Linked DNA regions of Mus musculus. The protein of the gene in region 2 interacts with the protein of the main gene of each other region in a pairwise test. Links are inferred from orthologs where the notes say so. Each region holds a gene or a part of one and is shown on either strand. Other genes may lie near its edges. The genes, in order: Fos and Cyth4.

Evidence for each region.
Region 1: the proteins of Cyth4 (region 2) and Fos interact in a two-hybrid assay, tested with the Homo sapiens proteins (2 studies listed by BioGRID and IntAct). The two-hybrid records come from large-scale screens. The link is inferred for Mus musculus from reciprocal best matches to the Homo sapiens genes CYTH4 and FOS.

Annotation. Positions count from the first base shown.
Region 1 is NC_000078.6:85,473,144-85,485,068, forward strand, and holds Fos (proto-oncogene c-Fos), read left to right. Parts: upstream 1-746; 5' UTR 747-896; coding exon 897-1,037; intron 1,038-1,791; coding exon 1,792-2,043; intron 2,044-2,448; coding exon 2,449-2,556; intron 2,557-2,673; coding exon 2,674-3,315; 3' UTR 3,316-4,131; downstream 4,132-11,925. UniProt on the Homo sapiens protein: Nuclear phosphoprotein which forms a tight but non-covalently linked complex with the JUN/AP-1 transcription factor. In the heterodimer, FOS and JUN/AP-1 basic regions each seems to interact with symmetrical DNA half sites.
Region 2 is NC_000081.6:78,591,757-78,603,735, reverse strand, and holds the start of Cyth4 (cytohesin-4), read right to left. Parts: upstream 6,690-11,979; 5' UTR 6,536-6,689; coding exon 6,517-6,535; exon of another isoform or gene 6,413-6,516; coding exon of another isoform or gene 6,403-6,412; intron 5,171-6,402; exon of another isoform or gene 4,632-5,170; intron 3,845-4,631; exon of another isoform or gene 1,044-3,844; coding exon 961-1,043; exon of another isoform or gene 1-960. UniProt on the Homo sapiens protein: Promotes guanine-nucleotide exchange on ARF1 and ARF5. Promotes the activation of ARF factors through replacement of GDP with GTP.

The DNA.
Region 1 (11,925 bases), on a different chromosome or scaffold from region 2:
TTTACAATCCTTCACTTGCTGCTTCCAACCTCAGTCCTAAAGTTTCTCCAGGCAAGGAGCTGGAGAGAGGGGCTGAGAAGCTGACCCCCCCTTTTTCTTCTCTGCACTGATTTGGGATGGGGGGCTGATGTGGGCAAGCTTTCCTTTAGGAACAGAGGCTTCGAGCCTTTAAGGCTGCGTACTTGCTTCTCCTAATACCAGAGACTCAAAAAAAAAAAAAAAGTTCCAGATTGCTGGACAATGACCCGGGTCTCATCCCTTGACCCTGGGAACCGGGTCCACATTGAATCAGGTGCGAATGTTCGCTCGCCTTCTCTGCCTTTCCCGCCTCCCCTCCCCCGGCCGCGGCCCCGGTTCCCCCCCTGCGCTGCACCCTCAGAGTTGGCTGCAGCCGGCGAGCTGTTCCCGTCAATCCCTCCCTCCTTTACACAGGATGTCCATATTAGGACATCTGCGTCAGCAGGTTTCCACGGCCGGTCCCTGTTGTTCTGGGGGGGGGACCATCTCCGAAATCCTACACGCGGAAGGTCTAGGAGACCCCCTAAGATCCCAAATGTGAACACTCATAGGTGAAAGATGTATGCCAAGACGGGGGTTGAAAGCCTGGGGCGTAGAGTTGACGACAGAGCGCCCGCAGAGGGCCTTGGGGCGCGCTTCCCCCCCCTTCCAGTTCCGCCCAGTGACGTAGGAAGTCCATCCATTCACAGCGCTTCTATAAAGGCGCCAGCTGAGGCGCCTACTACTCCAACCGCGACTGCAGCGAGCAACTGAGAAGACTGGATAGAGCCGGCGGTTCCGCGAACGAGCAGTGACCGCGCTCCCACCCAGCTCTGCTCTGCAGCTCCCACCAGTGTCTACCCCTGGACCCCTTGCCGGGCTTTCCCCAAACTTCGACCATGATGTTCTCGGGTTTCAACGCCGACTACGAGGCGTCATCCTCCCGCTGCAGTAGCGCCTCCCCGGCCGGGGACAGCCTTTCCTACTACCATTCCCCAGCCGACTCCTTCTCCAGCATGGGCTCTCCTGTCAACACACAGGTGAGTTTGGCTTTGTGTAGCCGCCAGGTCCGCGCTGAGGGTCGCCGTGGAGGAGACACTGGGGTGTGACTCGCAGGGGCGGGGGGGTCTTCCTTTTTCGCTCTGGAGGGAGACTGGCGCGGTCAGAGCAGCCTTAGCCTGGGAACCCAGGACTTGTCTGAGCGCGTGCACACTTGTCATAGTAAGACTTAGTGACCCCTTCCCGCGCGGCAGGTTTATTCTGAGTGGCCTGCCTGCATTCTTCTCTCGGCCGACTTGTTTCTGAGATCAGCCGGGGCCAACAAGTCTCGAGCAAAGAGTCGCTAACTAGAGTTTGGGAGGCGGCAAACCGCGGCAATCCCCCCTCCCGGGGCAGCCTGGAGCAGGGAGGAGGGAGGAGGGAGGAGGGTGCTGCGGGCGGGTGTGTAAGGCAGTTTCATTGATAAAAAGCGAGTTCATTCTGGAGACTCCGGAGCAGCGCCTGCGTCAGCGCAGACGTCAGGGATATTTATAACAAACCCCCTTTCGAGCGAGTGATGCCGAAGGGATAACGGGAACGCAGCAGTAGGATGGAGGAGAAAGGCTGCGCTGCGGAATTCAAGGGAGGATATTGGGAGAGCTTTTATCTCCGATGAGGTGCATACAGGAAGACATAAGCAGTCTCTGACCGGAATGCTTCTCTCTCCCTGCTTCATGCGACACTAGGGCCACTTGCTCCACCTGTGTCTGGAACCTCCTCGCTCACCTCCGCTTTCCTCTTTTTGTTTTGTTTCAGGACTTTTGCGCAGATCTGTCCGTCTCTAGTGCCAACTTTATCCCCACGGTGACAGCCATCTCCACCAGCCCAGACCTGCAGTGGCTGGTGCAGCCCACTCTGGTCTCCTCCGTGGCCCCATCGCAGACCAGAGCGCCCCATCCTTACGGACTCCCCACCCAGTCTGCTGGGGCTTACGCCAGAGCGGGAATGGTGAAGACCGTGTCAGGAGGCAGAGCGCAGAGCATCGGCAGAAGGGGCAAAGTAGAGCAGGTGAGCAGCGATTCTGGACCTTTGTGGGCTGGGGGGGGGGGGGGGGGCGGAGACTGACGCACAGACCACACAACAGAGAAGGGACGCTACTGACTGCACTTCCTGACCAGGAGCTGTGGCTGCTAGCCCTTTCCCTCCCTTGTCAGATTTTGACAGTTGGACCCAAGACAAACTCTAGACAGTTTCCCTGACAGCTTCCTACTTCATTCTCTAGCCGGGGAGCTTCTTTGTTCCCCTGCTAAAGATCTCACTTTAAATGCAAATCACACTCTGCCTGCCAACTGCAGGTTAGAAAAACTGCTTCACCGAGAGGTGCGGGTGCTGTAGGAGCCAGTTTCACTGGGGTGACTGAATGGAGGTGACACTAGACAACCTTAACTGAATGTTGGTCCTTTTCTTCTATAGCTATCTCCTGAAGAGGAAGAGAAACGGAGAATCCGAAGGGAACGGAATAAGATGGCTGCAGCCAAGTGCCGGAATCGGAGGAGGGAGCTGACAGATACACTCCAAGCGGTAGGTTGAACCAGCTGCTGCTCCTGAAACTTTATTAAAGTTGGAGCTTGGGACTATGGGCGCAGGGTCCTTGAGCATGCCCGTGTCTTATGCTTTCTTATATCTCTCCCTATGCAGGAGACAGATCAACTTGAAGATGAGAAGTCTGCGTTGCAGACTGAGATTGCCAATCTGCTGAAAGAGAAGGAAAAACTGGAGTTTATTTTGGCAGCCCACCGACCTGCCTGCAAGATCCCCGATGACCTTGGCTTCCCAGAGGAGATGTCTGTGGCCTCCCTGGATTTGACTGGAGGTCTGCCTGAGGCTTCCACCCCAGAGTCTGAGGAGGCCTTCACCCTGCCCCTTCTCAACGACCCTGAGCCCAAGCCATCCTTGGAGCCAGTCAAGAGCATCAGCAACGTGGAGCTGAAGGCAGAACCCTTTGATGACTTCTTGTTTCCGGCATCATCTAGGCCCAGTGGCTCAGAGACCTCCCGCTCTGTGCCAGATGTGGACCTGTCCGGTTCCTTCTATGCAGCAGACTGGGAGCCTCTGCACAGCAATTCCTTGGGGATGGGGCCCATGGTCACAGAGCTGGAGCCCCTGTGTACTCCCGTGGTCACCTGTACTCCGGGCTGCACTACTTACACGTCTTCCTTTGTCTTCACCTACCCTGAAGCTGACTCCTTCCCAAGCTGTGCCGCTGCCCACCGAAAGGGCAGCAGCAGCAACGAGCCCTCCTCCGACTCCCTGAGCTCACCCACGCTGCTGGCCCTGTGAGCAGTCAGAGAAGGCAAGGCAGCCGGCATCCAGACGTGCCACTGCCCGAGCTGGTGCATTACAGAGAGGAGAAACACGTCTTCCCTCGAAGGTTCCCGTCGACCTAGGGAGGACCTTACCTGTTCGTGAAACACACCAGGCTGTGGGCCTCAAGGACTTGCAAGCATCCACATCTGGCCTCCAGTCCTCACCTCTTCCAGAGATGTAGCAAAAACAAAACAAAACAAAACAAAAAACCGCATGGAGTGTGTTGTTCCTAGTGACACCTGAGAGCTGGTAGTTAGTAGAGCATGTGAGTCAAGGCCTGGTCTGTGTCTCTTTTCTCTTTCTCCTTAGTTTTCTCATAGCACTAACTAATCTGTTGGGTTCATTATTGGAATTAACCTGGTGCTGGATTGTATCTAGTGCAGCTGATTTTAACAATACCTACTGTGTTCCTGGCAATAGCGTGTTCCAATTAGAAACGACCAATATTAAACTAAGAAAAGATAGGACTTTATTTTCCAGTAGATAGAAATCAATAGCTATATCCATGTACTGTAGTCCTTCAGCGTCAATGTTCATTGTCATGTTACTGATCATGCATTGTCGAGGTGGTCTGAATGTTCTGACATTAACAGTTTTCCATGAAAACGTTTTTATTGTGTTTTCAATTTATTTATTAAGATGGATTCTCAGATATTTATATTTTTATTTTATTTTTTTCTACCCTGAGGTCTTTCGACATGTGGAAAGTGAATTTGAATGAAAAATTTTAAGCATTGTTTGCTTATTGTTCCAAGACATTGTCAATAAAAGCATTTAAGTTGAATGCGACCACCTTCTTGCTCTCTTTATTCTCAGTTTTGTATGGTTTCAGGAAGGCCTCTGAGGAGACCAGTTTGTCAAGATGGGTGGGTCCTGGAGGGGAACACGCCCTCTGTCCCCTTATCACTCAGAGGACACGCTAGTTCAGGGTATTTTACAGAGATGTGTGTTCATATTGCATTGCCTGCCTTGGGGCTGAAGGCTGCCTGTAACAGCTTGTGCAAGGATGTGCTTTTCTGCATGCTTATCTTCGCCTTAGTGATTTTCATGGGAAAGGAATCCTTTGAACAGAGCCTAGCTCTACACAAACTTTTTTGTTGTTGTTGTTTTGTGAACTGAAGAAGAGTTGAAATAAGCGACCTTCCACACTGCAAACCAGATCGCCACTTCCCCCTCCTGTCCATTATTAGGCTGAACTGCCTCTTTAAAAAAAAAGTATATATATATATATATATATATATATATACACACACATATATATATATAACTAAAATATGTATTTATTTATGTGGGGAGGGCATTCATGTACTTGAGGTCATGCACTTGAGGTCATGGGACAACTTCCAGACTTTTTCTCAAGAACACGACCTTTGGGAATTGAACTCAGGTTAGCAGGCACCTAGACCCACCAAGCAGCCAATCTTGCCAGTCCCCCTCCCCCTTTAAAGATGTATTTATTTCTATTTTCTGTGTAAGGGTGTTTCGCTGGCATGTGTGTCTATGCACCAGGTGCATATGCAGTGTCCATAGAGGCCAGAAGAGGGCAAGGGATCCTGTGGGACTGGAGTTCTGAGACAATGGCAGCTACCCAAGCAAGCACCAGGAATCTAAATCTGGGCTCTCTGCAAGTCTAACAACTGCTTTTAACTGCTCATCCGTCTTCCTAGCCCTCCTGAACTACCTTCCACACCTTAGCCTTAAAAGGTTTCCCTTGGTTAAAACACACACACACACACACACACACACACACACACACACACACGAGTGCGCGCACATGCACGCAAACAAATTTTCAATTGTTTGTTTACTTTTAAGATGGGTCTAACTTAGCCTAGTCTGACCTCAAACTTGCTATGTAGCTGAGGCTGGCCCTGTATTCCTGATCTTTCTGTTTATATCTCCCAAGTGCTGGCTTTACAGGTATGCACCGTCATTCGGTTCCTTACTCAAACATATGTTCATTTAGTCAACCCTTTTTATTCTCCAAAGAGAGCAGGCTATCTATTATCCTGTGCCACCATGAAAAACAAATCCCAACTTCCGAAGCTACTTTAACACTTGGGTGTAATTCACAGTACAGTAGGGGAAAAGGAATGGACATTTAAATTATCTTGAGCAGCATAAATAATGGCTGATCAACCAGTCTGTAAATAAGAAGTTACATAATAGCTCAGTAGGGAAGGGTCAGAAGACTTCGGGTGAGCTTAGCTTAGAAAGTTTATCATCTCAAAGAAGAACATGACCTTTGCCTGGGACACCTCAGGTAATGACTGCTGCTCTCTCTCTTGCTTACATGCAAACCAAAAGGAAAGAAAAATGAGCCACTCCCTACCCTTGCTCTCTGGTACCTAAAAACCATAGACTGTTTCCACGCATGCTGGGTGGAAGGGGAGCCTTCAGGTCATTAGTGGTAATGACAATCACGCTGTGGTCACAGTGGGCCTCGTACTCTGTCGAGCTGTGTTTCAATTTCAAACGACAGTTCCATTACACGTGAGCTGTTAACCTATGATCTACCTGCTCCTACCACAGTGATTGACACTTCCAAGCAATTTACCCAAGTCTCTCTAGAACGTTCTTTACAGCACATTCCACTTGCACACACTGCTTTGGCCAGTCCTGAGTTATGGAGAGGCCTTGTTGGTACACCAATAATCCCAGAGCTGAGGAGAGAGGCTTGAGTTCTGGGCTACACTGTGAGATCCTATATAAATTAAATGAAATGTAAAAAAAAAACAAAAAAAAACCAAAACCCAAAAACCTTTAGAATTAATGTAACATTTACAAGGACTCGGTGAGCTCTTTTAAATGTGTGGTGGTAATGAGCTGAGAGGAATGTTCCAGATTGGAAAGAACAGCAAGGAAAGCAGCTTGCCCCTCCCCCCACTCCCGGGGGCCTCCCTAATGGCCCTGGCAGTTGTAAACTAGCTGTGGAAGAAGAGCATCCCCTTTTCTTTGACAGGTCTGACACAAAGCCTTTCTCCAGGTCACCACAGCCCAGGCCATGGTCCATCCACAGGCAAACACTGAAACTCTAGGAAGACAGAATCTCTGAAAGGTTTCTCCAAGTTCCTGGGATTCCCCCGAAGGACTAACACCTTCTGAGCTCCCTGCCAGCTACTTCCGTGGTCTAGAGTATCTTCCCTGTCTGGCCAAAGGACTCCTTCCAAATCCCCCCTTACCAGGGACTCTGGATTTAAAAATTCCTGAGGAAGACTGGCACTAGGAATGTCACCTTTCTTTTGGGGACACTTCCATCCCTTCTCAGAAGACAAAGCCTCAAACTAGTTTCAGGGGAACAATTACCTGCCTGGCTTCAGCGTCACTAACATTGATACAAGTCCTGACCATACAACAGAAAGGGCTAAAGACCAGGGACCATTTCCCTTAGGGACCATGTCAAGCCTGACCCGCCAATGGACTCTAAGACCCAGTTCAGAGCTATAGTACAGGATTAACAAACATTTTGCTCAGTGGGTGAATGAATAAGTTCCAAACTCTTTCTACGATCAGAAACTGGTCTGTGTATGTTCTGTAGTTTCTGTTCCAGTCCCCCTTTCCGATGTTAGGCAATAGGAATGTTACATCTTTTACCTCTGGCTGCAGACACACAGGCCACTTCTGTCCTTCATTCCTGGAATTCCTTCATTGCCTCCCCTGGGTTCCATCTGCCATTTCAGCAAAGCGAATGACTGACTGTGCAATGACTGAAATTAATTTCAGATACTAGAAGAAAAAATACTCATCTTTGCAGAACAGTGGATAACAGGCTCCCAACACCTTTGCATACCCCTAGAGCTCATGCGATTATCAAAACTAGAGAGGAGTACTTTGTGCTCTATTTAAACCAATCATGTTCTGTTTAATTAGTCTCAGGCACAGTAAAAACGCTAAGATGGTTACCTTAAGCAAATGATCCCAAGTTTCAATGTGTCTGAAGTAAAAGAAGAAACAAAAGCAAAAGCAACCTTTAAACTGTGCACACGTTTCCTCTGAAGCAGTCCCTCGGAGGGCAAGGGATAGAGTGGCATCTGGATAGAGTGGCATCTGGATAGAGTGGCATCTGGATAGAGTGGCATCTGGATAGAGTGGCATCTGGATAGAGTGACATCTGAATGCTGAACAGTGCTCATGCTTTAAATCGTGCTGGCTTTCTGTTAACATTAAGAAGTTGACCCTTGATTCTTCTGGTGCCCTCAAGTCCCCATAAACACACAGGGCATGGGACTCCCTTGCATTCTGCACACATCTAGTACTCATTCCTTGAAGAGGGTGTTTGTTTGTTTGTTTGTTTGTATTGTGCTGATAAGCCTCTACCTGGGCCTCTTTGCCCAAACTGGCAAAGACATCCAGGTCCCAGCTCAAAGCAAGTCTCCTTCTAGACACCTTCCCTGGCCACTCTATCTAGGGTGTCTTCTGGGCACACTCCCTGAATGACGTTTTCCTGATTGGATCTCATAGCATTCATTTCTCGCTAGCTGCGACATCCAATCTTGGTTTTCTTTCACTTAAAATAATAAATGTCTCGTCCCATGAGAACAATGATCTTTTGTATCTTGATCACAACCGTGTCTCTCAGGGTTGTTGACTGAGTGCAAATAGATGAATGAATGAACACAGATGACAATTATGAAAGTGTCGTAAGAGAGCCAGACCTTAGAAGGGAATATTAACCTCAAAGATGTCTCCAAGGGTAGAAGACCATGGCCCTTTATTAAATACAAACTCCAGGCTGGAGAGGTAGCTCAGCTGTTAGCACCTGCCATTCCTCCAGAGGACCCAAATTCAGTTCCTAGAATCCATGATGAGTGGCTTATAACTGCCTACCACTCCTGCTATGGGGGAGGGAGAGCCAACATCCCTGGCTTTGGTGGGCTCCATCACTCACTCATGCATACACATACATCTAAGTGAAAAGTAAAATAAATAAAATGTAAGCAACAACAAACGGCAAGCTCTCCAGACGTCTCAGTAGACGAGGGAGCCTGATGACCCGAGTCCATCCCTGGAGATCCTGTGAAGGTGGAAGGAAAGAATCGATGCCACAGAGTTGTCCTCTGACCCCTGACATTTGTGCACCCACACTCGTTTTAAAGAAATTCATGTTGCTCTAAGGATGGCTATTCACACCTACAGTTCCAACACTGGGGAGACTAAAGCAAGAACGTTGCCATGAATTTGAGGATAGCATAGTCTACAGAGTGAATTCTAAGCCAGCCTGGGCTACAGAGTAAGACCCTGTTTTGTTTGTTTTTGCTTTGTTTTTAAACAAGACAAACAAATAATCAAAATGTATTCACCTTGGTACAAAACACTCAGAGTCTAATACAAGTCTGTTTTGAGTTCATTCAGTGTGCAACCTTTAATTTAGTCTGCATTAGAATGGAAGGAAGAGTAAGGGTTACCTAGTTCCCATTATCCATATCACTATCGTTAGCCAAGAGAAGGTCCACACCTGCTGTAGATAAGATGTACTAGATGCTGGTGAATGACTTTGGTCTCTGGAAGGAGCCAGTTGGGTAGGTTTCCCTTGTCTTTGCAAGCAGGAAAAAGCAACAGAAATCTAAACCAGTTTAGTTGCAATACAATCCATTTCAATGGTTCCACAGACCCACTCATGGACTAAGCTGAAATGCATTTCCTTTGTCCAAAACACATTGTCCTGTTACTCAAGAGGACGAAAGTAGAAAGTGTTCTGGCTACTGTCCCAAGCAGGCTGCCTAGTCTGGTCATTAGCTTTCCCCCACAATCCCTAACTTTCAGCCCTGGTGTTTGGGTTTGGTTAAAGCAAATGATTAGAAGTCTGGGGACCCACAGGTGTCTAATTGTTGGTTATGTTAGAAACTCTTTGTTCTAGAACCAGGCCCAGAGGCTACAGGGATGTAGTGGTATTGGGCTTGCTAGCCTGTGTGAGGCCCTGGGTTGGCTCCATAACACTATGAAATGAACAAATATTAGCAGGAGGCCTGTGTGGAAAGGACCTAGTTTAAAAGGCCTGGGACAAAAAGCAACTTTATCCTGACTGTTAGTGGCCCAGGGTCTACTTGCCATGTTTATTTAGGGGAGAAATTAACTGGGTTAACCGATCATATGACAGGTAAATTTATCAAGACAATGTGATAACGTAGTCTGGATCCAATATTGCAAAGTGTTCCAGAATATAGACTTAGTTCTGAATCCTGGCTCCTCGACCTTAGGCAAATCAAGCAGTCTGTACTCAGCTTCCTCAGTGGTAAAATGGAGATGGTAATTGTGGGTGGCTATTGAGACTGCTATGGGCACTCAGAGAAGCAAATCAGTATTACAGCTCCTAAGTGTGAAAAATATGGTAGAATAGTTGGCTGTTATTATGCCTTTTGGGAGATGACGGTCAGTCAGAGAAGCACATAGGGATTGCATTATATAGGATAACCAGTTGGAGGTAAGCAGAGGGGAGGGTGGGGAATCTAACATTTACATCAATATCGAAGCATCAAAAGTGAAGGAAGTTAAAGGTAGGGCAAGAATAGATAACTGTGGCCAGATTGCTCCGAGCCTGGTATTTAATTTAGATCAGTCTGTTTGAAGACTTAGTTACAGCAGTGGTGGCAGGAATGGAGAGGAACAAGTGGTAATTAGGAGGAAGACGTCCCAGGCTTGGTGACAGGGTAGATGTGGGTTTTGATGGAGAGGGAGGAATCTATGCCCATTGCTAGGTTTACCGAGCTTGACACACAGTGAGGCTTATGGCTCCCCCAGGGACTTGGTGTCCATAGAAAGAAGCATGGGTTTCGGGGATGTGGATTAGCTTCGTGTGGAACATGTTAGCTTGCAATGCCTAGAGGATCCATCTAGGGGGAGATGGAGGTTAGTCCCAGTAACCTAGTAGAAAATGGAAAGAGTTGATGGGGTTTATTCAGAGCACAAGGTTGGCACAGAACCTGTGGCCCTGGGGTAAGGTTTCACATGAACCTGTTCGTGCCAGGATCTGCTCTATACTGTAGAGGAAGTTCAGGGTCAGGGATTGCTCTACTAATCAGTGTGCCTCTCACAACTGGCACTTGATAGGCACACAATCATTATCATGTTGTCAAATGGTTGCCTCATTTGGTCTTGTCAACACAACAGTTCAACGAGACAGCTGTTAGTGCCTTCATTTCATAGGAATGGAGCATGGCCCAGGAAACAGTAAGTGTCTTGGCCAAGGGCCCACAGCTGATAAGTAGCAGACCTGAGATTTGAATACACACTTTGTGAATCTAAAGAGCCCCAATTGCTTAACCACATTACCGGATCATTAGAATTTGACTCTAGGTATATGATCTGCTCCTCTGAGATGATCTTTATGCCCATCAGGGGTGGTGGGATTAAAGTATCTCTTAAGCCGGAGCTGGAGAGAGAGCACAGCAAGCAAAGTGCTGCTGCCAAACCTGACAACCTGAGATCCATCCCAAAGACCCACAGGATAGAGAGGAAAAAGTAACTGTACGGCTCGTCCTCTGACTGCTCCATACACACAATGTCAATAAACAAGCAGGCAAATACATGCATTCTTGTGGCTGAAACAGGCAGATCTCTGTATTTCCCATTTATTTATTTATTTATTTATCTATTTATTTATTTTTATTTTGTGTGTGTGTATGTGTGTGTGTGTGTGTGTGCGCACACACACTTGTGTCATGGTGATATGGAGGGCAACTTTTGGGAGTCAGTCTTCTTTTTCCATTTCTACATGGCTTCTAAGGGACCAAACTCAAGTCACCAGCATTGATCTACAAGAGCTTTACTGGCTGAGCAGTCATCATCCTAAAAAAAAATAAAGATGTATTATTTACGTATATAGGTACTTTGTCTGCATGTCCATCTGCCCAGCAGAAGGTGGCATCAGACAAGCCTGAGCTGTCATGTGGATGCTGGGACTTGAACTCAGGACCTTCAGAAGAGCAGTGTGTTCTTGACCATTGAGCCCCCAGCTGAACTATCTTGCTGGCCCCTTTAAACCAATTTTGTTTGTTTGTTGACAAAGGGTCTTATCATTTAATCTTGGCTGGTCTGGAAATTGGTAGCAGACCAGACTGGCCTTGAACTATAGAGATCCTACTGCCTCTACCTCCTGAGTGCTACCATGTGCCCTATCCCCCAAACAGATTTGACAGAAAGTATCTAGTTATGGTGTCCCATACCCGTAACCCCCAAATTGAGGAGTGGGTATAGGAAGGTCACCTCTGAAAGGTAGTTCAAGGCTACCTTTGGCTGTAGAGCTAGTTTGAGATCAGCATGAATGGTTCAAACCCTTTCTGGAAAAAAAAAAAAACAGGCAAAAGCCAACTGATATAACACAGTGACTGTGAAAGGCAAACTGAACTTGAGTCTCTTCAGTTAGCTCTGTCACTGTGTCTGAGCACCTGTGTGCTGGTGTGTGTTTACACATTCTTGTGAAGCGATGTAACATTTTGTCATGCTTCCTGGCAAATGCATTGTGGTGAACACGTTTAGTATTTTTATTATATGTTACCTTCCTAGTGTGTTCTTTAAAATGGGAGATTTCTCTAAAATTGTTTGCTTTGAAACTGAAGGACAATCAGGAAAACATGACACTGGATG
Region 2 (11,979 bases):
TCAGGGATGAACAAGGCCCGGGTTCTGTTTTCATAGAGCTAGAGTTTGGAGATGTTGGGGCCATGGGTGCATGTCAAGGGGGTGAGGGGGCAAAGGAGAGATCTAAGCAGAAAGTAACCACAGGGATGGCTGAGGAGGAGCCTGACACGTGTATGTATGTACTCAATAGGATGCTAGCCGTGCTGGTGGTCCCGTGTGGAATCAAGTGTGCATGTGTGTCTAAGTTTCAGGCAGCCTGGAGGAGGAGGAGGTAGGGCCTTGTTCAGAAAGACGAAGGTGTGGGAGTGTGAGGAGAGCTGAGAGGAACCCCAAGTGGAGGCAAAGAAGTGTGCAGAGGCCCAGAGACTGGACTGAGCAAGGTGAGGATGGATGGACCTCAAGAATGGTGTCCTGTTTCTGGAGGCCACTAATAATCACGGGAGTGATCATTTAAGAAACCGGTGAGCTCCCCAGAGCTGAGCCCAGGGTGGGTGTGATCTTATCCAAAGGATGGGTGTGACCTTGTCCAAAGGACACAAGAGGGAGGAGTCACAAGCTTGCAACCTGGTCTGCTCTGGGCCTGGCCGCTGAGCCGGTGTGGGCAATCCCTGGCAGGTTCAACCTACTTTCTATTTTTGAGGTGGGATTAAGACTGGAGCTCTGGGACCTAGGATTGAGCTGAGAGGAGCCAGGGATCTAGGACTCAGGGTGGGGGAGCTGATGCTTGGATCTTGAGGGGAGGGGGTGGTGTCTGGGGCTTTGGGGAGGAGAAGACAAAGTCTGACTGGCTTTCTGAACATTTGGTCAGGAGAGTGGGAGATTGTGTTGAGGGCTGGCTTGTGGGCATATGTAGTTTAGCCATTAGTATGAGTGTGTGTGGGTCTCAGTGTGAGAATGTGTGGGTCAGAATGGGACCAGGTATGAGTGTGTTGAGTGTGAGTGTCTGTGGGTCTATGAGTGTGAGCATATGTATGAACACACCTGGATGTCTTCCAGTAGCTGCTTCCTGTGCCATTTGATCTGCTGTAGCTCCTTGGCCTCCCCACTGCTGAGCTCAGCTGGATCTGGAGAGAGAGAGAGAGAGAGAGAGAGAGAGAGAGAGAGAGAGAGAGAGAGAGAGAAGAGGATTGCTTGGTTCTGCATCTCAGAGCCCCTCCTAGGGAGACCCCTGAAATAAAGTGAGACCCATGATGCTGGTGACCCTTGCTGGTACCACTGGAGCCTGACTGGATGCCACCACCGCTGAGAGGCATCCTTGGACGTCCCTCTCTAGAGTGGCCCCACTTCTTCATCATAATTCCTTTTACTCCCTGGAGAGAGATTTCCTGTGGCCATTGTGGGGTCACCTGGCCATACCTAGCTGCAAGGGAAGCTGGCAAATGAGCTTCACTAGGGTGATCCCTATGTTGTAAGAAGGGAAAACAGAGCCTTTCCAACTTGGGCCTGGCAGAATGGCTCCCACAAAGAAGGGTGGCAAGAAGAAGAAGGGCCACTCTGTCATCAGTGAGGTGGGGACTTGAGAATATACATTCACAAACGCATCCATGGAGTGGGCTTCAAGAAGTGTGTCCCTAGGGCACTCGAGGAAATCTGGAAATTTGCCGTAAGGGAGATGGGGAGTCCAGATGTGTGCATTGATCAGGCTTGATAATGCTGTCTGGGCCAAAGGAATAAGGAATGTTTCATATCATATCTGAGTACGTTTGTCCAGAAAACGTAATGAGAATGAGGATTCACCAAACAAGCTCTACGCATTGGTAACTTACACGCCTGTAACTACATTAAAAAATCTATAGACCACCAATGTAGATGAGAACACTAAACCTGCTGAATGTCAAATACAGTGGCAGAACTGCCAACAAAAAAAGAAAGAAGAGAAAACAGAATTTGGGGGCAGGGTTGGCACAACATCAGTCTATGCTCTAAGACACTATAACTCAGATGTGAGAAGTAAACTGGGACCTTGGATTGGACTGGCTCCCAATCCCATGCTGTCCCATTATCCTCCAAAACAAAGAGAGACCCACAATGCTGGAGCCACACCAGGACACTGCACACTCGTCCCACCTACCATACTCCAGTCAGGACCTCCACGGAGCCAGGCACAGCAGCTCATCATACTTGTAATCCTAACATTTGGGAGGTTGAGGCAGGAGGATTACAAGTTTGATGCCAGCCTAGGCTATAGGGTGAGATGCAGTCTCATCAACAACAACCAAAAGCCAAACAATCAAAAGCAAACTACAGCCAACAACGTGGGCAGCTAAGGATCTCCAAGCCATCCCAGAAAGACCACGGTGGAGACCTTGGTCAGGGCACTTGATTCACCACTTCCTGTGGTTCAGGAAGAGAGGGTGTCCTTGAGTTCCTGCTAGCAGTGACTAACTGAGACAAAGGCCAAATGAAAGGACAGTGGAAAGGTTGGGGAGCAGGGAACGCAGGTTGCGAGGAGACATGGGTGGTTCTATGGAGGATGGCAAGCAGAGATTTGCAGGGGTTATCAGCAGGCAGGCACCCAGGAGGGGCATGAAGACACGACCAGTGACCAGCTCAGCTGACTCACCAGCCTCCTACGGGGCCATCTTGGCCCTGGAACAGCAAAGGAAGTAGCCATATGGCATGAGAAGAAGCTGGAGTCCTTCCTAGGTCCCCTGACGACCACCCATCAATGTCCAACCAGCCGGATGCAGATACAGGCACTGGGCCACTGTTTCCCTTGGACTGGAACCTTTGCTCTCAAAAAGACCGGCCAGTTCTTTACTTTTATTTTTGTGTTGCTAAGGATAGAACCAGAGGCTTTGAACAGGCCTGACAGATTCCCGACCACTGCGCCCCATCCTGTCCCAGCTATTCATGTTGGCTGGAGTCCGCACAGGTTCAGATAGATACCGCTCCTCTACTCAAGGGCTTTCAATGCCATGGGACCATAGGAAGCCCAGATCCCCTTCTTAGCAAAGGTTGTGTGCAATGGGACCTGAATGTCCCCACCCTTTGTCATCATCAAGGCCTGCTAGAGAATGGAGCAGCCTTGTGTGGATGCAGAGAAGGTTCCCTGCTTGGATCACCCCTCCAGGATGCACCATGCCCCTTCCCATTGCACATGCAGCTGGGTGCGGGGCTCCTTAAGTGGAAGTGCAGGCCTGTCACCTCAGTGGGATTTTCTTTTTGTCCCTGCAGGGGTAGAGATCCTCTTCCAAGGGGGCAGAGAGGAGTGTGATGCAGGTCTCATGGAAGTCCAAACTCTTGGATACCCAAGGGACCCCGGTCATTTAGTCTCCATGATTCTTTACAGGGGTAGTTCTCAGTTTAAGACTCGGGGACTCAGGGGGTGAGGTGACATATCCCAGGTCACACAACTGGAAAGGAACAGTATGGGATTTCAGTATGGTTACTGATACAGGCTTTGCCCAGGCAAGCCAGGTGTGAGTATGTATGTGCGCATACATGCATGCATGTGTGTACGCATGCTTGTGTGTGTGTGTACATGTGTGTGCATGCATGTATCTGTGTTTGGAGAGTGAATGAGCATGTATGTCCACCCCTGTAGAGGTCAGAGGCTGACACCACGTGTCTTCTTCTCTTTGAGACAGGTTTTATCCCTGGCTGTCCTGGAACTCAGTCTGTAGACCAGGCTGGCCTCAAACCCTACCTGCCTCTGCCTCCTGAGTGCCGGAACTAAAGGCATGCACTGTCACTGACAGCATCTCTCGTGAAACCTAGACTGACTGGCTACCAAGCTGCACCTGGACCTCAGTCATCTCTGGGAATTCCCCTCTACCCAGCCTCTTCTGAGCTCTAGGAATGCACCCCAATCCCAGGCACCTGACAGCACCTCCCTCTAGCCTCTGGGCACCGCCATCGCCAGGTCTTGTCACTTTTCCTTCCGTGTCCACGCTCCCCACTGACATCCGACCACCTTGAGGGAGGTGGAAGCTGGGTTTCCCAATGCCACTCCGCCTCCCTCTGTGTGCTGGCCCTGAGTGCTCTCAGTGCCCCTCCCTCTTGACTGAGGACCCACTGTGTGCACTGCTCCTCCCGTCTCTCAATCCCCCATACTCTGAAGAGGGGATTTCTAACTCCCTGCTATAGGTGATACTCTTGGGGTTCAGAGAGGTTAAATGGCCTCTCTCAGCCAACATAGCTGGTTGCGGTGGAGCTGGGGTAGCGCTCTACCTACCTGGGGCCAGAGCCTACAACCCTCCTAGAGCCTTGTGAAATCCACACGCCTGGGCAATCTGACCCTATGCCAACCACAACGGTGTGAAAGCGGTCACCTTCACCCCTACCTAGTCTGCCCTCTGTGTCCCAGTCTCAGGCCAGTGAGTGCCCAGTGCCCACTGCCCGGCAGCTGCCACCTCAGCTCCTCACCACTTCCCTCTCACCCTTCCTCTTTCCCATCTTATTTTTGGTGCCTGCAGCTTGGCTTCCAGGCCAGCTGGCCCCAGTTCCCCTTTCCTGGTGAAGGGGGTACCAGTGGGCGTACAGGGACGGGGCTCCTGAGGGGTGGTTAGGTAGAAGGGGAGGGAGCTTCCTCTCCCTGCCAGTGCGCTCTAGTGTTAGCCTGTCTGCCCTCATGCCTTCACCAGGCAGGGCTCACCTTGTTGCAGGCCCTGGGGGAAGGAAGGGTCTTAACCTGCTTCCCTGTAATGCAGGTTCATGGCGGAGCCAGAAGCAGCTTGGGAGAGCCTTTGCCACCATCCCCTTCCATAAACATCACAAAGGAGCCCGTGCCTCCTGCAGAAGAGACCCAGCCCTGGCACCTGCAGGGCAGATGCCCACATTCTCAGAGGCAGGCCAGGAAGACAAAGGACCAGCCGTTCACAGACAATGAATCTGAGGAGAGCCCCGGCCTCCATGGGCTTCTGTGGGACCTGGGTAACAGAAAGATTCCCCCTTCCCTGATGCCTCCCCCAGGAAGTCCCCAGTCCCCTTTCTCATTCTTCTCATTTGTGGGTATGGCCAGGCGGGGATCAGAGTCCTCTGTCCCTCCACTCAGCACCCTGGAATGTCAACCAGCTCCCCTTTGGCCATTTTGAAGCATGCCACGGGGCCGTTTGTAAAATGGATGAATAAATAATGAACAAACAGAATGATGGAGCAGTCCGTGGAGACCCTTTGCCTGGTCTCCCTTTGCCTTCTTGTTGGCCTTGAACCTCAGCCTAGTCCCTGTGTCTTTGTGGAACTTAACTCAACCGCCCCCCCCCCCCCCCACACACACAACACCCAAAGAGACAAGGGAGAGGTTATATTAAGGAGATCTTTGGTGGCCAGAGCCACAGCCTCTTCTTATATTATGTCCTGTCAAAGCCCCCTGTATCCCGACCATAAATAAATGGCTGTTGAAAGAGTCTGAGGGAGCCAGGTGCAGTGGTGGTGCACACCTTTAATCCCAGCACTTGGGAGGCAGAGGCAGGCAGGTCTCTGTGAGTTTGAGGCCAACCTGGTCTACAGAGCTAGTTCCAGGACAGTCAAGGCTACATGGAGAAACACTGTCTCCAAAAATCTAAAAATAAAGGGGGTGGGGATAAGAAAGAGAGAGAGAGAGAGAGAGAGAGAGAGAGAGAGAGAGAGAGAGAGAGAGAGAACAAACAAAAGAAAGGAAGGAAGGAAGAACCTGATCGGTTTCTGGAATACAGAACAAGGCATAGCATCTGGAGAATACCCAGCACCAGTGAGCAGGGCTCAGCACCAGTGGGCGGGGCTCAGCACCAGTGGGCGGGGCTCAGCACCAGTGGGCGGGGCCCAGTGCTGGTGGGTGGGGCCTGGCTGTTAAGGGTTAGGTATCATTTGGAGAATCTGTCACTCTGAACCAGTCATATAGACCTGGGGATCCAGACAGCCAGCAGCTGCAGTCCCTCAGAGCCCAGAACTCCAAGAGAACTCTCTGAGGGTACAGGGACATGGCTCCACCCACAGCCCTGCTCTCTGCTCCCTGAGAACCACACCAGCCTGTCCCTCCCATTTCCTTTTTCTCTGTCCCTCAGACCCACCGCCCTGGTTACTGAGTGAACAGGGCCTACTGTGCCAGGGCCTCATTGAATGAATGTTACTCCTTCAGGCAGTGTCCCCAGCCTCCATCAAACGTCACCAGACCCCAGGAGCTAAGAAGACTCTGTAGGGCCCTCACAGGGTCTAGGCAGGTGTCACCACCAACAATATCCACCTTCATCAGAAGTCATTCTTCCCAGGTCCCTTATGGGGGGCCTTCCCTCCTGAAAACTCTTCCTTGGAACTCCCAAGAACTCTGCTGAGCCGCGTCGGCCTGAGCACTCCCAATTCCTTCTTCCCTCGTCCTTGATCTCCTGTTTTATCTATCTTTTATCTCGTTTGTCATCATCCACCTCATAGTGCAGAGCCCAGGAGGTAAGCAACCACTCAGATGCCTGTGGGACCCCGAGGCCTGGAGTCTAGCCCGGTGCCTACCTCTGCACATGGAGTTTGAGGTTTTCTTTCCTGGCCTTCTGGGCACGGCTGCCCTTGATTCCCTGTTCTGCCGGAGGAAAGGACTGAGGCCCGTGGCTGGGACCTATCGCTTACCTGTGTGACACACATCCATTCTGAAGCCCAGGGGAAAGGTGGCCCAGCTGCTTGCCTTGCCAGCTCAGCTGCTGCTCTGGTGGGTAGCCAAGAGGACCAGTCATGGCCCCTTCCTGCCTGCCCCGCCCAGACCCTGTGGGAGGAAGTCAGCCCTGGCCACAGGGGTCTGTGCGCAGGCTCCTGACACAGAGCGCACTTCCTAAAGGCAGTTGAGTTTCACCAGTTAGCTCAGACCCTGGCATCTGAGTACTTGGAAAGTGGGGAAGCAGAAGGAAGACAGAGCTAGGGCAGGGGAGTGGGGGTGGGTGGATAAAGACAAACAGACAGACAGACAGACAGGTGGATTATGGGCCCCCACAAGCTCAGTCACAGGGGAAGAAGGTCCTAACGATGGACCTTCTCTGGGGGGCGCGGGTCTTTACCCAGCAACCTCTTTAAATATAAGCCAAAAGATTTCCCAGCTTCTAGGGTCCTCTCTGAACTCCCCTGAATCAAATCTCATTGGAGAAAAGACAAGTCATTCAGGGATGGGGGAGGGGCTTTGCTTTTTTTTTTTTTTTTAAAGAAATGCCCCCCCCCCCCCCCACGTCTCACAAAGTGTCTAATTTCCCTCTCTCCCCGGGCCGCTAGGAAACTCACCATCAAATCTGTACAATCCTTCCATGTGACTTTGTGGCCAGATCCAGTTGTTTGACCCTCAGCATCTCCACTCAGGCAGGTGTCACCACCAACAGGGTGCATGTGACTTCGGGCTAGTCAACCTATTACACCGAGTCTCATTTGGCTTGCGTCCGAAGAGAGTATGCACACTCAACCTTGGGAATGTAGAAAGAGCAGTGTAAGATTCTTGGAATGTAGTAGGTGTTCAAAAAATGATTTTCCTTTAGGCTTTAACTGCCCCCCCCCCAGCTGCCCCATTGTTGACTGCTTTGTTTCTCAGGCCTTTTCTGGTGAGTTGGTTCAGATCCTGCAGAGAAAAAGGGATGGCTGACAGAAACTTCAGTCAGAGGAGCGCTTACTCTTTGGAATTCAGGGCACATCCTGGCTCACTGATCTGTTTCCAATCTATTTAGAAGTCCAGTGAGGGCAAGGTCACATTTGTGTCCTAGTCTCTCGTAAAATGTGAGGAGAAAGGAGTGTTCAAGTGAGGATGAACTAATGAATGAGTGAATGAATGAATACACCCAGGGAAGATAGGCATGTAGTTCCTTCCTTGAGTGATGCAGACATTTCCGGCCTGGAGGTATAGGCCTGTCATCCTGGCTTCTTGGGAGACTGAGGCAGGAGGATTAAAAATTCAAGCCTGATCCAGTGAAAACCTGTCTTAAAATAAGAAACAAGAAGAGGGTTGGGGACATAGCTCATGGGTAGAGAGCTTGTCTAGCATAGCCAAGGCCCTGCACATGCACACGCACACACAGAAGTGGGGTGTGCCCCCCCCCCCACCGCCTGGAGTCTGAGCTCAACCCTGTGTCTTTGACCCAAAGTCTAGCTGAGAGAGTGGTGCAGTTTTATGTATCAACAACAGGGGGCGCCCTGGAGGCCTGGATTAATCTGGTTTACGGAATGGAGCAGGCTGGCCTCTGCAGCATTCTGGCTTTCCAGATGCCCTGTGTCTCCCACTTCTGTCCTTTCTCATCCAAGTTTGGCCACAGGACTTGCTAAGAAACAGGATCCTCCACAGGCAGCAGGAAGGTGGGAGCTAGTGCTTGCGGGTGGGGTGGGCTACAGCAGGGACAGAGAACTGGGGGAAAAGGTCCCCATTGCCACATCGAAATTCACCCTTAGGAATTTCTCCCGCCCCTGAGACCCCTCCCAGGATTACTGGTCATTAGCTAATGTGGGCAGCATCTGACCGCAATGGCGATCAGTTTACATTATGTAGGAGGAGCCAGTGCCTGTCATTAAAGGGACCATGACTTGGGTGATCATCAGGGTGGTTAGTGTAAATTGTCAACTTGACAGAGTCTAGAGCCCCCTGGGAGACAGGCCTCTGGACATGTCTGTGGGGGTCATCTTAGTTTTTGTTAATCAGGAAGGGGAGACCTGCCCACTGTGGGTGGCGCCATTCCCTGGCTGGCTTCCTGGACTGCATAAACAGAGACAGGAAGCTGAGCAGCAGCAGTGTGCTCATCTATCTTCCTCAGCTTCCTGACTGTGGGTGGAATTTCACTGGCTGCTTCAATCTGCTGCCTTGCCTCTTCTGTCATGGCGGACTGTACCTTTGAGCTCTGAGAAGAATAGAAACTAAGTTGCTTTTGTCAGAATATAATGTCATAGCAACAGGGAAAACAAACAAACACTAAGACAGCAACTAGGACAATGATGGCAAACCACAGTTCAGATGGCTTCCCTGCCCTGATAGTAAATATGTAACTCCTCCTGAAGGAGGGACTGATTGGCTCAGTCCTAGAGCGTCAGGACTGGGTTTGGACTGGGGCTATAGATGCCAGAAAGAAGACCTGAGCATCGCGCCTACACCTGTAGTGCTAGCATTTGGGAGGTGGAAGCAAGAGGAATTAGGAGTTCAAAGTCATTCTTGGCTATATTGGTGAGTTAGAGGCCAGCCTGGGCTACATGACACCCTATCTCAAAAACTGAAAAGACAAGGGGAGGAGAGCAAGGAGAGTGGCCATGAAGAAGCCACAGGCATCTCATTGCTACTGTGTCACCAAGGAGGATCTGGGGAGGAGGGCTAGCTTTCATGGGCAGGCAGAGAACCACCGTGGGATCACAATGCTGGAAACTGAGGTCCTGTCTGGAAGTCTTCTCTGGTCCCATTTTACAGACCCAGAGAGTGAGGTTTACAGACCTTCCTGCTGAGATCCAACCTCCAACTGTTGTTCTCTGTGGAGACACCTGTCTGGACATGGGGTCTTCTAAGTGACACTTGTCAGCTGGGGTGGCAGGCTGCCATGGAAAACCAGATGGTAGAGCCTTCAGAAATCGTGCTCCTCACACGTGCACCCACCCCTGCTGCTCTTGTGGCGTTTGTGGGTTCATGCCTTCGGTGTCTGTTGCACCCAAGAGCCCTGGAGAAGCAAGGGCTGCCTAGCTGCCTATCCTAGACTCAGGGCCTGGGTTCAGGCCACCACCCTGTCTCAGGGCAGTGCTGGGTCTCTAGGACCTGGGCTTCAAAATCTGGGTCTGCAGAGGCTGCACACACCGGATCTGTGGGGTCCGAGGACAGTATGGGGTTAGAGCGTGCTCAAGACTTTTCTTCCCTTCAGGTGTGTCAGGCTCAGAGATGAAGGGACCTTTGCCTTTGAAAGACTTAAATATGAGGACTGGGGAGACATCTCAGTTAGTGAAGTACTTTTTATAAGAGCAGGAGGACCCACATTCAGCCTCATGGGTTTTGTTACTTTTCTGTTGCTGTTACAAAATTCCATGACCAGGGCAACTTAATGAAGAAAGTATCTAACTGGGCTCACAGTACCAGTCCATCACCACTGTAGTGGGGAACACAGCAGCAGGGAGGTAGGCATGGCTCTGGAGCAGCTGAGCTCACATCTTGATCCACAAGTAGCAAGGCGGGGGGGGGGGGGGGGGGAGAGAGAGAGGGAGGGAGGGAGAGAGGAGAGAGAGAGACAGAGAGAGAGCGACAGAGAGAGAGCAACAGAGAGAGAGAGAGAGAGAGAGAGAGAGAGAGAGAGAGAGAGAGAGAGAGAGAGAAGTGGAGAGAGATTGAGGAAAATACCCTGGCCTTCACTTGTGTGTGTGTGTGCTGTCCTCAGAGCCCACAGATCCAGTGTGCAATATCACACACACACACACTAAATAGGGGCTCACAAAATGGCTCAGTGCAAGCCCGATGACCTGGACTCAGTCCTAGGAACCCACAAGGTGGAGAGAGAGCGAACAGAAGTCACAGTGTCATCCTCCGACCTTGGCATGGGTGAGGGCCCATTCCTCCCTCCCCACCACAAGCAATACTAAACATAAGAAAAAAGAAAGATGAAGTGTCACATAGTTCCCTAGAGGAGGACCGCCAGAACCATGCAAGGGAAGGCCTTGGGACAGAGGGCTCAAGTAGGGAGATGTCACTGGGCCTGGGCTATGGGGAGAGGGGTCACTGTGTCTGGCTCAGGCCTAGGCTGTCAGAGCAGAAGAATGGCAGGCTTGAGCGGGGCCCCGGGGTCCCACTGCACGTGGGAATTGATGCCAGAGCTCCTTCTAGGGAGATAGAAACGTCCACCCCCTTCTCCTATAGACCCACAGGTAGCCCAAAGTAGGGTCCCCCTGAAGTTCACCCTGGAGAACTAGTGAGTTTCTTGGGTGAACTTAGAGAGCCAGGGTGTGGGGCTGTCTGCAGGAACAGGGGTGACCCAAAGCAACTGCATTGAAAGTCTTCATCCAGCGTGGATAATGGCGGCCTCGTAGCTGGAATCCCCTCTACCTCCTCATTCTATACTCTTCTAGCACCTCCCCAGCCCCCCAGGGGCCATGTGTGATCAGGCCACGATTATCCACAAGTGGTTGGGAAGAGGGGCAGGAGCCTCAGGCGAGAGGAGGTTGTCCATCCCCACTCCTCTGAAGAAATGCCTGTTAACCAGTTCTGCGCGGTGGTCTGTTGTTAGCAGATATGGCTGATGGGAAAAGGAGGGCGGCTGTACCGCTTGGTACAGCTGTATGTGGAGGCGGCAGGCACGTGGCGGCTGTGAGCTACAGTGTCAGCCGCAGCTCATGAAATGCTGAGAACCTTCCAGTCTCCACCCTCGGTGTCCCTGCTCTGAGCCTTTGTGACCCTCCAGGCCCAGCATCCTTCTCTCTAAAATGAGGCACAGCAGTGTCTCATCGAAGCTCCGGGGTGGGGGTGGGGCAATGGCGGCAATAACATGACGCTGGTCACTACTGTGCCTTCCTTGGCTCCCGGGCACTTAATCCCTGGGCACAGGTAGGGTCTTGCTTGCTTTTGTTGAGATTTAGGAAAGATGCTCAGGGCAGATGACTCCCCGAAGCTGCAGCCATATCCCATGAGGCTCTCATGAAGGTATGTTTCTCCCCCATGAGTGATCTGGAGCCCTTTCACACCTGTGCTCGGGTGGATGGAACCCAAGCTCCCTCCTGTTTCTGTGGTGATGTCAGCATATCCTGTGGGCTGTAGCCTTCAGCAATGAATGGGTCTGACATCACCGGGAGCCTCCCACCCCAGAACTTTTCTCTAGCATGCTGTCAGGAAAATCTGCCTCACCAGGGCTCCAGCAGGCTTCTCCTTTTGCAGAGTGGAGAACTGAGTCACTTGCTCTGTTTCCCTTTTTGCCTTAGCTGCCAGGAAGCTCAGGCAAATCTGGGTCAGCCTCAGCACCCCCAGAGTTTGGCACATCACCTTTCCTGTGGCTAGCTTCTGCGCATGTGGTGGGAGTGGTCATTGGGAGGCGGAGTCTCAGTATGCAAAGAAGGGAAAGAGGAGAAAAAACAGGCTAGATGTAGAAAGGTGACCGCAGTTAAGTGGGGCCAGAC